Pelodiscus sinensis: one gene and its partners. The protein of the gene in region 1 purifies or fractionates together with the protein of each later gene. This does not show direct contact. Links are inferred from orthologs where the notes say so. Each region holds a gene or a part of one and is shown in the gene's direction. Other genes may lie near its edges. The genes, in order: CSNK2B, NKAPD1 and YAF2.

Region 1 (3,746 bases):
GGGTCTGGGGGCGGGGCCAGAATCCGGAACGAGCCCCCTGGGGGCGCTGTGGGCGGGGCTAGCGCCCCAGGGGCGGGGCTAAGGGCCAGGGGGCGGGGCGAGCGCCTCGGGGAGCTGTGGGCGGGGCTAGGCCCTGGGGGCGGGGCCAGCCACACTCCCGCCCCTCCCCCCAGACGCCGTCGCGGCCCCACTCACCATAGAGACGCCGGAGGCCGCAGCAGCCGCGCGCCGCCCCCGGGGGCCAAGGGAAGGCGCATGCGCGCGAGGCCGCCGGTGGGGGGGGCAGGGGGGTTCCTGGTTCTAGGCACGCGCATGAGGGGAGCGGCTCGAACGCAGCCTCCCGCCGGCCGGTTACTCTAGGCCGCGACGAGTGACCCGCGACGCGCATGCGCAGTACATCCCCCCCCCCCCGAGGTGCGTGCGCACCGTGTTCCAGACGCGGGAAAAGCAGGCGGGGCGCGTGAGTGACGTCACGTAACGCGTCAGGCGGTGAAGGGAGGAGCCAGGCTCCTGCGCACGGGAGCCCAGTGAAACCGAGCCAGGGGGCGCGCGTGCGAAACCGAAAACAGGCGCATGCGCAGCCCCGTGCTTCGAACCTAGAGGCCAGCACAGCGCATGCGCAAGGGCCCTCGCGCTCTCGCTGGCCTAGTAACGGCCACTGCCCCGCGCGCTTCCCTGCTTCTAGCGTGAGGTGCGCGGTAATCTCATTTGCATATTACCCAGCATGCCTTTCTGCCTCGAACCCAGCCAATTAGCGTCGATTTGTTCCCATTTCAATAGAATTAGATTTAATTTGGGAAGGAATTAATGACAGTAGGATCGGCTCGCAGGCGCGTGACGTCATCCCGACGTCGGTTCATTAACACACCTTCTAATTTACCTCACCCTAACCGGATTACGTCAGAAATAGCCCTACCCGCGACAGGCTAATTAACATATTTGTAATTAACCTGTAGGTCAGCGTAATTAACCCTTCATGGCCGGTACCAATTAACGTGCCGGGGCAGATGAGCACGCGGGGCGCCATGGAGTACAGCAGAGCCAGCACCCGGCGGAGCAGCACCAGCATCAAGGAGGGTAAAGGAAGCCACGCCCCCGGCGGGGAGGCCACGCCCTTTCGTGGGGGCCGGACACTCCCGGAGATGAGGCCACGCCCCCTGCGGGAAATCCCGCCTGTCCCAGTAAGGGGCACGCCCTCACGAGGGTTAGACCACGCCCATTTTGCAGGGACACGCCCGTTTAGGGGAAGCCACGCCCTCTTTGTGTTGGCCCCGCCCTTTAATATGGCAGTTACTCTGGGTGAAGTCTCACCCCATCGGGACAGGCCACGCCCATTTGCGTGCGGACACCCCCCTTTTTGGATAAGCCCCTCCCCTTCGGGTCAGGCCACGCCCATGTCTGATGGCTTTCAGGTGTCCGGGCCCCTCCCCCATGCGTCTGGCTCCGGTCTGCTCCTAAGAGACGGCGGGGGGGGGAAGACCGCTCCTCCCATTATGCTCTGCGGCCCCTCCTCTCGCCCCTCCTCTGGGCTTCGTAGTTTCCCGCTCCCCCGCCCTCCAATCCCGGCAATGAGGCTCGGGCGGCGACAGAACTACAACTCCCAAGCGGCCTTGCGGCGCCTCCCCCGGCTTCCTCCCGTCCCGCCTATCGCGTTCAAACATGGCGGCTGTAGTTCGCGCGGGGAGCTGCGGGACTACAACTCCCAGGAGGCCTTGCGGCGCCCGGCTGCGCACGCAGCCGCTTCTCTGTCTGTCATGGCGGGTGTAGTCTGTGAGCATCCTGCCGCCCGTTCGTTCTAATGGCCCTAGGGGCACTCCGGGACTACGATTCCCATGCTGCTTTGCGGCTCCGCGGGGTCCCCTCCTGCCGTACGCCCGTAGTACCGTCGGGTCCCGCTGCCCATGCGTCCCAATGCGGTTCGGGCGGCTGGAGAACTGCAACTCCCGTCGTGCATCGCGGCCTCCCATCACCCCCCGCGCCCGCTGCCCCCGCTTTGCATGGTGGGAGCGGTAGTTCCGCGCTGGCCCCGCGTCCCTGGACTCCTATGGAGGCGGCGGTGGCTGCGAACTCCATCTCCCGTCATGCCCCGCGCGCTGGGAGGGGGCCGGAAGCGAGGCCTGTGCACGTCTGGCAGCGCTTGTTTGCACTCGCTGCCGGGCACCGCCTGCTGCCGAGCGGGGCTGAGCGCGCGGGGGTGAGTGTCCTGCGCCCTGGTGCGAAGAGGGGCGGGGGGTGGACTGCCCTTGTGCAAAGGGCCGGCCGCGCCGTAGTGCAAGGGGGGGCTTCTACCCTAGTGCAAAGGGGGGGCGGGGAGTCTGCCGTAGTGCAAAGTGGGGGTGGGGGTGTGCTGTAGCACAAGGGAGGCCGGGGTGTCTGCCCTAGTGCAGTGGGGGGCGGGGGGATTTGCTCCTCGTGTAAAGAGGGAAGAGGGCCTTCTCCTAGTGCAAAGGTGGGGGGGGCTGCCCCTACTGGAAGGCATGGCGGGGGGATTTGCACCCTAGTGCAAAGAGGGGGAATTTTCACCCTAATGCAAAGGGGGGGGAGCCTGCCCTTAGAGGCCGGAGGTGATTTGCATCCTAGTGGAAAGAGGGGAGGGGGCCTAATCCAACGGGTGTAAGAGTGTGTGTTCTGTCCCCAGTGCAAAGGGTGTGTGTGTGGGGGGGGTCTGTCCCTAGCACAAAGGGGGGGGCATGTGCTCACTAGAGCGAAGGGGGCATGTGGCAGGGTCATCTGCCTTCTTAGTATCAAGCTGGGGAGGAGGGAGCTGTGCAGCGGGAGGGCAAGGGGGCCCAGACCCACACAATGATGAGCGGTCTGCCCTTGTGCAAAGAGGGGAGGAGGGTGGGGGCATTTGTGCCCCAGTGCAAAGGGGGAGTATTTATCCCTCATCTCTGCCCGTGCCATGGGAGGACGAGTTAAAGATACAATGGGGGAAGGGCCATTCACCCTTCATGCCCCACCCCAGAGCCAGCTGCATCTCAGTGCCGAGAGAGGGGTCCCTGTAGAACTGCCCCTCTCCCTCCCCGTGTCCCACCCCAGAGGGGGCGCATCTGAACGCTGTCTGAGGGGGCTGCTCCTGAGGGGGCTGCTCCTGAGGGGACACGTGAGGGGACACGTCACAGCACTGGCTGCACGGTCTGTAGTGGGAGCGGCGTGTGGGGCTGCCAGCCAAGCCCGAGCCACGTTCACCGCACACACGGGTAGCCTGACGCGCCCCCCCCCCCCCCCCTCTGCAGAGGACGGGAAGATGAGCAGTTCCGAAGAGGTCTCCTGGATTTCCTGGTTCTGTGGCCTGCGTGGAAATGAGTTCTTCTGTGAGGTGAGTGGTGCCTAGTGGTTGGAGCCAGAGTGCCTGGGTTCTCTGCCTGGCTCTGGGAGAGGAAGCAACTGGGAGCCAGGACTTGTCCTGACCATGGGAGGAGAGTGGGGTCTAGTGGTTGGAGCATGGGGGGAGGAGGGCCTGGGAGTCCGGACACCTGGGTTCTCAGCCCGTCTCCCTCCCCCGCAGGTGGATGAGGACTATATCCAGGACAAGTTTAACCTGACGGGGCTGAATGAGCAAGTCCCCCATTACCGCCAGGCGCTCGACATGATCCTCGACTTGGAGCCAGGTACTAGGTGGGGGTCCCAGGGCTGAGGAGGGGTCTCGGTCTGAGCCCCTGACCCGTCACCAGCCCCCTGCCAGCTTTGTGTGAGTCCTCGTCTCCTTCCACCCTGCTGCCGCTCCCCGCCCCTCTGAATGGGCC
Region 2 (3,746 bases), on another chromosome or scaffold:
TCCCGGGCTGCCTCTTGACGTGATCCCAGCACCCCATGCTGTCCCCTTGCCCCCATCCCACTGCCCCAAGCTGCCCCTTGACCCCCATCCCAGCGCCCCGAGCTGCCCCCTTGGCCCCCATCCCAGTGCCCCGAGCTGTCCCCTTGGCCCCCATCCCAGCGCCCCGAGCTGCCCCCTTGGCCCCCATCCCAGCGCCCCGAGCTGTCCCCTTGGCCCCCATCCCAGCGCCCCGAGCTGCCCCCTTGGCCCCCATCCCAGCGCTCCGAGCTGCCCCTTGGCCCCCATCCCAGCGCCCCGAGCTGCCCCCTTGGCCCCCATCCCAGCGCCCCGAGCTGTCCCCTTGGCCCCCATCCCAGCGCCCCGAGCTGCCCCCTTGGCCCCCATCCCAGCGCCCCGAGCTGTCCCCTTGGCCCCCATCCCAGCGCCCCGAGCTGCCCCCTTGGCCCCCATCCCAGCGCCCCGAGCTGCCCCTTGGCCCCCATCCCAGCGCCCCGAGCTGCCCCTTGGCCCCCATCCCAGCGCCCCGAGCTGCCCCCTTGGCCCCCATCCCAGCGCCCCGAGCTGTCCCCTTGCCCCCACCCCAGCGCCCCGAGCTGTCCCCTTAGCCCCATCCCAGCGCCCCGAGCTGCCCCTTGGCCCCCATCCCAGCGCCCCGAGCTGCCCCTTGGCCCCCATCCCAGTGCCCCGAGCTGGCCCCTTGGCCCCCATCCCAGCGCCCCGAGCTGCTCCAAGGCCCCGACTCTAATGCCCCGAGCTTCCCGCTGGCCTCCACCCTAGCCCGGAGCTCCGAGCGGCCCTTTGCTCCCTTCCCCCTCACGCGCCACACAGCTCCTACCTCGCGACACCAGAAGCCGTTTCCATAACAACCGACGTGAGAAAAACCGGAAGTGGAAGTGACGTTAGCCCTCCAATCCTTGCGTTCCTTACTGGGTCCCTAGGTCCCGCCTCCGGTTCGGGCCCTCCGCAGCCGGGTGCGTCCGGTGGAAGCACTTCCGGGTCACGCACTTCCGGGCTGGGGGGAGTAGTCCCCCTCCCTCCGCGGGTGAGAAGGGCGTTGGGTCGGGAGGGGGGCTGAGCTGGGGGAGGGACCTGGGGCTTCTGGGGGAGGATGTGAGGAGGGGGTCTTGGGGGGGGGGGGGGCAGAGGATTGCGGGGGGGGGTCCTCCCCAGGTCTGACTGGATCTGTGCCCCCCCCCCATATGCCCAGCGCTGTGGCAGCCACTCACTGCCCCACGCTCCCTGCCGGCTGGCGCTGCCTCCGCTTCCCCCATCACGGCCCCCAGCCTGGCTCCACGTGTGGCTGCTGATGGGTCCCAGGCGGGCTGGTGTTTTGGGTCGAAGCCCATTTCCCTAGACCTCCCTCCCCTCTTCCCGCTTTCCGGGAGGCCTCTTTATTTTCCACCCTAACATGCTGCGAGCTGTCAGCTAGCTGCTGGCTGACACCACGGGGGGGCTGCATTGAGCTGGGCGGTGAATGGCTGTATCTGTAGGGCCTGGGTCTCTCCTCATGTTCGTTTTTCACCAGCATAGCTCCGTTGGTTTCAGCGCAGTCTCATCTGACTTGTGCGGAGCGAGGTAAGCGCAGGATCAGATCCACCACGTGAAAGGTGATCAACATGGACATTAGACTAATAAATACTTTGTTTCCCGCTTCTCATTGATATGTGCGATACGAGATACAGAGGTTTATCAGGAACTCTGAACGTGGGCATCAGTTACTGCATGATCCTTTCTAAGCCCTGTATGTGAAGAGTGGCTCTAAGAAGTCTTCGTTTTGGGGTAATGCAGTGTTTTCTTAGGGAACACAAATGTCAGCCTGAGTCAATAACATGTTTTCTGTCATACAGGTGGAAAAAAATTGCTTTTAAGCTTTGTCTCAGTCCTGACGAGCATTTTCTGCATTAAAGAGTCTTATATGTGATTCTCTAATTGCTTTCTTTTTTGTGAATTCTATGAAGGTTAAAGAATGTCCCGGGTCCCTTTAGGAAAAGTTCTCTTACGAAATGTCATTCGTCACACTGATGCACACAACAAGGTAGGGAACCATGTTCTGTCCCTTTGTTTCTCTCGCTCTGTGTTTAAAGTATGGTATCACTTCTAATTGCCCAGACCTGAAGAAACTTGTCTCTTTCACCAACAAGTTGATCCAATGAAAGATATTACCTCATCCACTTTGTCTTGCTAATACAGTCTGTCTGACTTTCCTTATCTATGTCAGAATCTGGCATTCCCTCACTTGCCGTGACATCTGTTATTTTAGTGTTGTGGTCCCAGATATGATTCTTCTAGGGGAAGCTCTTTCTTGATGCCATTGTATGGAGCTATGCTATTTTCATTTTACTGTTGCTGAATTATGGTAGCTAAATTACTTGTTCAGCACACAGGTGTATTTTTGAAGGTAGAAATTTCTACAGTGCATCTTAGGAGTCCATTGTACCTTATAGCAACTGGAACTGTACCTCTTGGGCAGGAACCAACCTGAGCCAACTCCAGGTCCAGGGCCTCTCACCTCCCTCCATGGGCAGGGTTCCAGCTTTCCCATGAGGGTAGATAAAATGAAATAACACTGTATTTCCAAAAAATAAAATGAAAAATGTATAAACTTTAAAAAAATAAATAAATCACAGTGCTCTCTTTGGGACTTAGAGAGTGCCAACGCCATCTGCTGATTTTCTGCACTGAACTGAATTTGATCCTGAATGTAGAGGTGAATTAACTGTTAGCTGAGCAAGAAATTTTTTTAAGGGGGCACCATCAGTTGAAAATCACATTTTGTGCATAAGCATAGCTCCTCTACCTACATTGCTAACAATGACATGTATGTTTACTCATCTAGATTTTCCCTCTTTAAACTCTTGTTTCATTTTTTGCTTTTCTCTCAGCTTGGGCAATTAAAGTCAGTTTTATGTGTTCATAATCAAGTTCCCTTTCAGTTGCTTAGTGCTGCCTTGTTTGGTTTGTAGGCATGGCAAGGGAATATTTGTTTACAAGTTTCATCTATTTACAAATAATGGAAGTGTTTGTCTAGCTCTGGTATCTTCGAAAAGGACTTTTTCATAATATTTACCTTTTGGGTTTGGTGATTCTTTTAATTTAGCACTTGTTAGGTTTTTGTGCTTTTGTAAAACAGGTCTCTTTGGGGATTGATCTTGACTTCAGTGCACAAGCCTGGTAAAAGATTTTGAAATTAGCCTTTCTTTACTAAAGCATTTAATTCAGCAGACGCATTTTTCCAAAGAGCACTTATCTCATATGCACCTGCGATGATGCCACATGGATAACAAAGCTACGTGAGCTAAATCTGTGTCAAAGCACTAGATGGCTGCATGTTGTATTTTCATGTGTTTAACGTGATTACTCGCTTCAACTTCAGTTCTGTAAGAGATGTGAGAGAAGAACTCCAATGAAGTGAGAGAGATTTTTGCATAGACTTGGAGGATCCACTTATATGGATCAGATTGCAGAATTAGACTCTTCACCTATAAAACCACTACAGCTAATTGTCATGATGTTTCTCCTTTTGGTTTACTTAATATAGCTAAAAAGACGCATTTATATCACTGCAAGCAGGTCAGCTTAGTTTGAAATCCATCCAGCTCAGAATTACTGACCTAGAAGAAGTGAGGTTACAGTGCCTCATAGTTGCAAAGCAACACTTCTGTGGAGCACTTAATCTTATTTTCTCATTTTCTTCATATTTTTCAGATTCAGGAAGAATCAGAAATGTGGAAAATAAGAGAGCTGGA
Region 3 (3,746 bases), on another chromosome or scaffold:
GTCCATCGTGATCTTCAGCCTACATTTTCCTTTTCTTAATTTCACCTCATTATTCCCAGCTAAAATTCTTTTTTTTTTTGCAATGTTCAGAAAAGGAACAACATTCTTCATGGGTTTTTTTATGCTGTTAGGCACATTTTATTTGTACTTAATCTATGAATACAAATATTAATGTTGTTTGTAACCTTGCATCTAATCTAGATCTTATATGAATTTGTATCTGCATCTATCACAATAGTACCAGTGTCTGAACATTTCTGAGGTTAATTGACTGGTATAGCAAGGTATCTCATGGTACTTCTTGGAGTTTTCTACTTTTCTCCTAACCTGGTTATGACAGCACTGCATGGGATACAGGTTTTTTTTTCTTTGAGGGCGGGGTCTAATTATTGTGGTAAATGTTACTCTATGATAATATGGAAGCTTTATGAAAGAGGAAAGGTCTTGAAGCTGTAAGATTCTGGATTAAATTATTCTCTTCTGAAATTTTGTTCCACAACCAGATCTCCTCATCAGAAAATGCCCCATTTCTGGCTCTCATAATTTTTTATCCTGAGCTTTGATCAGCATTGTTCCAGTGGAATGTAGCTATACTAGTAATTCATAGATGGAAATGTAATCGCTAATGTACTTAGGACCTTGAGTTGCCAAATTTGGTTGGACATATTCCTGGAGATTTCATCACATAACATAATCTTTAATTAAAAATTAATCTTGAATTCCCGGAGACTCCAGGACAATCTTGGAGGGTTGATAACCCTAGTAAGACCAGATCCATGAATGGCTTTCAACAGCATGCCCACGGCTTTGGACTGGCAATGAAAATAGACCAATAACTAGTGTTGCTGTGGCCTAATCTGCGGAGAAAGTGTGCTGCCTCATTCTGTACCACCTGTTAGCATTGTTCATATTTATATTCAGTTATCCAGTTTGGAGCTGATGAATGAGGCCAGGACCCTGACACAGAGGAAGAGATGTGGTTTGAAGAGATGAAAGGAAGAGGCCTTCTGGATCAGTCCTGCCTTTATGAGGATTGGGCACACTCTTGCCTTGTGTGTAATTTACATATCATCCTAGGTGAGATGGCATATTGATTTACGTGCAACAGGAACGTGGTTCGTGCAATAGGAAAGTGGTTCTGTCATATCTGTCAGCACATGCACGTTGCATCTGCAATATATCAAAACAGGCACGGCCTGTATGAAATACATATGTCATTGCTGCAGAGGGGATCTGTCTCTCAGCCCGCCTGGCAGCTTGCTTGCCATGTGCTGTTAGGCAAGCTGTTACAGGCGCAGGAGACAACACAATGGCCGGGGGACCCCCACGCCGTCACTCCCCGCAGGGCGGGGACCCCTAGCCCGCACACGGGGGCGGGGGTGGCTGGCCCAGCACACACACGAGCTCCCATCCCGTTGCCCCCTCCAGCCAGCCAGCGCGCGCGCTGTGGGGCGAGCGACGAGGGCTGCGCCGCCGCCTCAGCAGCTCGCCGCCCGCTCCCCTCAGGCCGGCTGGCGCCGCCAGCAGATGCGAACCTGCCGCCTCGCGCTGCCGGGGGCTCGGAGGGCTGCGGGCGGCCGCTGGTTGGCGGCGGGGGGACACGTGAGGGAGGAGGGGGCGGCGGGCGGCAGAGGGAGCCGGAGTTTCCCCGACAGCTGGAGGTTGCGGCGGCGGCTCCTCCTCCCCGCTCGAGCCAGGGCCCCCCGCGCTCCTCCTTATTTACAAACACACAAAGGGCCGGGCCGGGGACGCGTCTGCAGCCGGCATGGGAGACAAGAAGAGCCCGACCAGGTAAGGGCGGCGCGGAGGCCTGGCGCCGGCAGCGCCCGCGCCCTGGATTAGCGGCGCCTCCTGGCCGGGCCCGACCCTGCGCCGGGAGCAGCGGCGAGCCGGCTCGGCCGTGCAGCGGCCATGGCGGCCGCGGGAGCCGGGCTGCAGCGGGGGCGGTCGGGCCGGGCTGCGAGCGGGGCCTGACCCACCGCCCCCGCCTGTCCCCCCCTCCCCCCCGGGTTGTGTGTGTTGCAGGCCGAAGCGGCAGCCGAAACCCTCCTCGGACGAGGGCTACTGGGACTGCAGCGTGTGCACCTTCCGGAATAGCGCCGAGGCCTTCAAGTGCATGATGTGCGATGTGAGGAAGGGCACCTCCACTCGGTGAGTGTCCGGACACCCTGACCCGGCGCGCAGCAGCCCCGGGGTGCCAGGGAGCCGGCTGCTGCAGTAGGAACTAGGTCAGGTTTATGGGGGATCCCGTCGCCCGTGGGCTGTAGGGACAGGGACCAGAAATGCTGCAGCGTTTGCTCCCAGACTCATTTAACCCTTTGGCTCTAGCAGCTAAGAGGCATTTTCCTTTTATAAAATTAACAGAATACGTGTCCAGACACTAGCTGAAATCCTCTCGAAGGGGAGAGAAGGTGAGTTCCCTTCATTGCAAGGAGCTCCTGGGGCTTAACTGGCATCTTATTGTGCTTGCATTAGGTTTTGTTTTCTATGTTAAAGTACAATAGCATATGCAAGGTAACACTTTTGAAATACAATGCCGATAGGGTTTATTAATCTAATTATGAAAATAATTTTGTGCAGCATAAAATGAGGTGTTTTTATAAATTAAAATGTGAAAATATGGTCTCTACAAAGTACAATGTGTTAATCTTCCATTTTTTCATGGTGGGTCATCAATATGCTATTTCATCTAAAGCATTTGCTTCTATTATCATTGATTTTTCTTTATGAAGTAGCTTAATTCAATTTCCTCAAAAATCCCAAACAAAAATCCCTAAATCTTATTTATTTCTATGTTTAATGTTAAAGAACTATCCTGTTTTTTTCAATCCCACCTTAGAGATTTATTCTCTCTACAGAGGTGATTCCCTGCTACTACTTTTTCAAAGGGAATGTAAATTAGCTGAGTTTTTTAATACAGTGAAGTCAGTCTGGAAATCACTGACATCTCAGAGTAAACCTTTTCCGTAGAACATCATAAACATCCTGAGAATCATTTGGATCCAACATGTTTGTATAGTTCTATTATTATGGGTTAGAACAGAGGTAATCAGTTATTTTTTGTTAGGGTTCACATTTCTTTGTCAAGGTCCAAACTACAGAGAAAATAATAATCAGTTTCCGCTCCCCAGTAAATAAGAAGATTTTTTGGCCTATTCAAAAGCATTTGGCCCACATCTACTTCTGGGTTAGAACACGCTCTAAAGGATGGATAATTTTATAAAACCAACAAGTGTGCAACTGTGGAGTCTTTTGCACATTAGCATAAGAAAATAACATGTGCTTTTATTTATTATTATTATTAGTATTAGTATTATTTATGTATTATATCTTGTCAATCCTGTTAGCAAAAGAGATATGCCACAGTCTTTTATTAAGAGTTATAAGAGCTTTATTACAAACATAAAACATAATAATACTGGATACGATTTTTGCAATGAATTTATTGTAAATTAATGTTCAAATAATTCAGGAATAGACTTGTTCTCTCTTTTGATGATGTATATTTGTAAAAAAGATTTTTAAAAATATTTTTTCAAAACTAACTTTAAATTTATTAGAGAGTTCGTAGAATGACTTGTCTTTATGATAGCAGTCAGGTTCATAACCTTTTGACATTTACTTATCATACTATGTTTTCCAGTACTAAAAATGAGGCTAGATTTCTACTTAACTTGGTTTTTCAGTTTTCAGAGAATTTAATAGAATTATACATCTTTATTGAAGCTAGGTGAGTGAGGTAATAC

Evidence for each region.
Region 2: the proteins of CSNK2B (region 1) and NKAPD1 purify together in Homo sapiens (affinity purification with mass spectrometry; 3 studies listed by BioGRID and IntAct, counting the BioPlex papers as one, with this or other methods). This does not show direct contact. The link is inferred for Pelodiscus sinensis from reciprocal best matches to the Homo sapiens genes CSNK2B and NKAPD1.
Region 3: the proteins of CSNK2B (region 1) and YAF2 purify together in Homo sapiens (affinity purification with mass spectrometry; 5 studies listed by BioGRID and IntAct, counting the BioPlex papers as one, with this or other methods). This does not show direct contact. The link is inferred for Pelodiscus sinensis from reciprocal best matches to the Homo sapiens genes CSNK2B and YAF2.

The regions. Positions count from the first base shown.
Region 1 is NW_027466017.1:275,822-279,567, reverse strand, and holds the start of CSNK2B (casein kinase II subunit beta), read left to right. Parts: upstream 1-956; 5' UTR 957-1,007; coding exon 1,008-1,077; intron 1,078-2,058; exon of another isoform or gene 2,059-2,194; intron 2,195-3,236; coding exon 3,237-3,319; intron 3,320-3,508; coding exon 3,509-3,611; intron 3,612-3,746. UniProt on the Homo sapiens protein: Regulatory subunit of casein kinase II/CK2.
Region 2 is NC_134736.1:6,938,988-6,942,733, forward strand, and holds the start of NKAPD1 (uncharacterized protein NKAPD1), read left to right. Parts: upstream 1-918; 5' UTR 919-1,042; intron 1,043-1,123; exon of another isoform or gene 1,124-1,779; intron 1,780-1,958; 5' UTR 1,959-1,966; coding exon 1,967-2,035; intron 2,036-3,705; coding exon 3,706-3,746.
Region 3 is NC_134711.1:53,360,495-53,364,240, reverse strand, and holds the start of YAF2 (YY1-associated factor 2), read left to right. Parts: upstream 1-1,400; 5' UTR 1,401-1,765; coding exon 1,766-1,791; intron 1,792-2,025; coding exon 2,026-2,151; intron 2,152-3,746. UniProt on the Homo sapiens protein: Binds to MYC and inhibits MYC-mediated transactivation. Also binds to MYCN and enhances MYCN-dependent transcriptional activation. Increases calpain 2-mediated proteolysis of YY1 in vitro.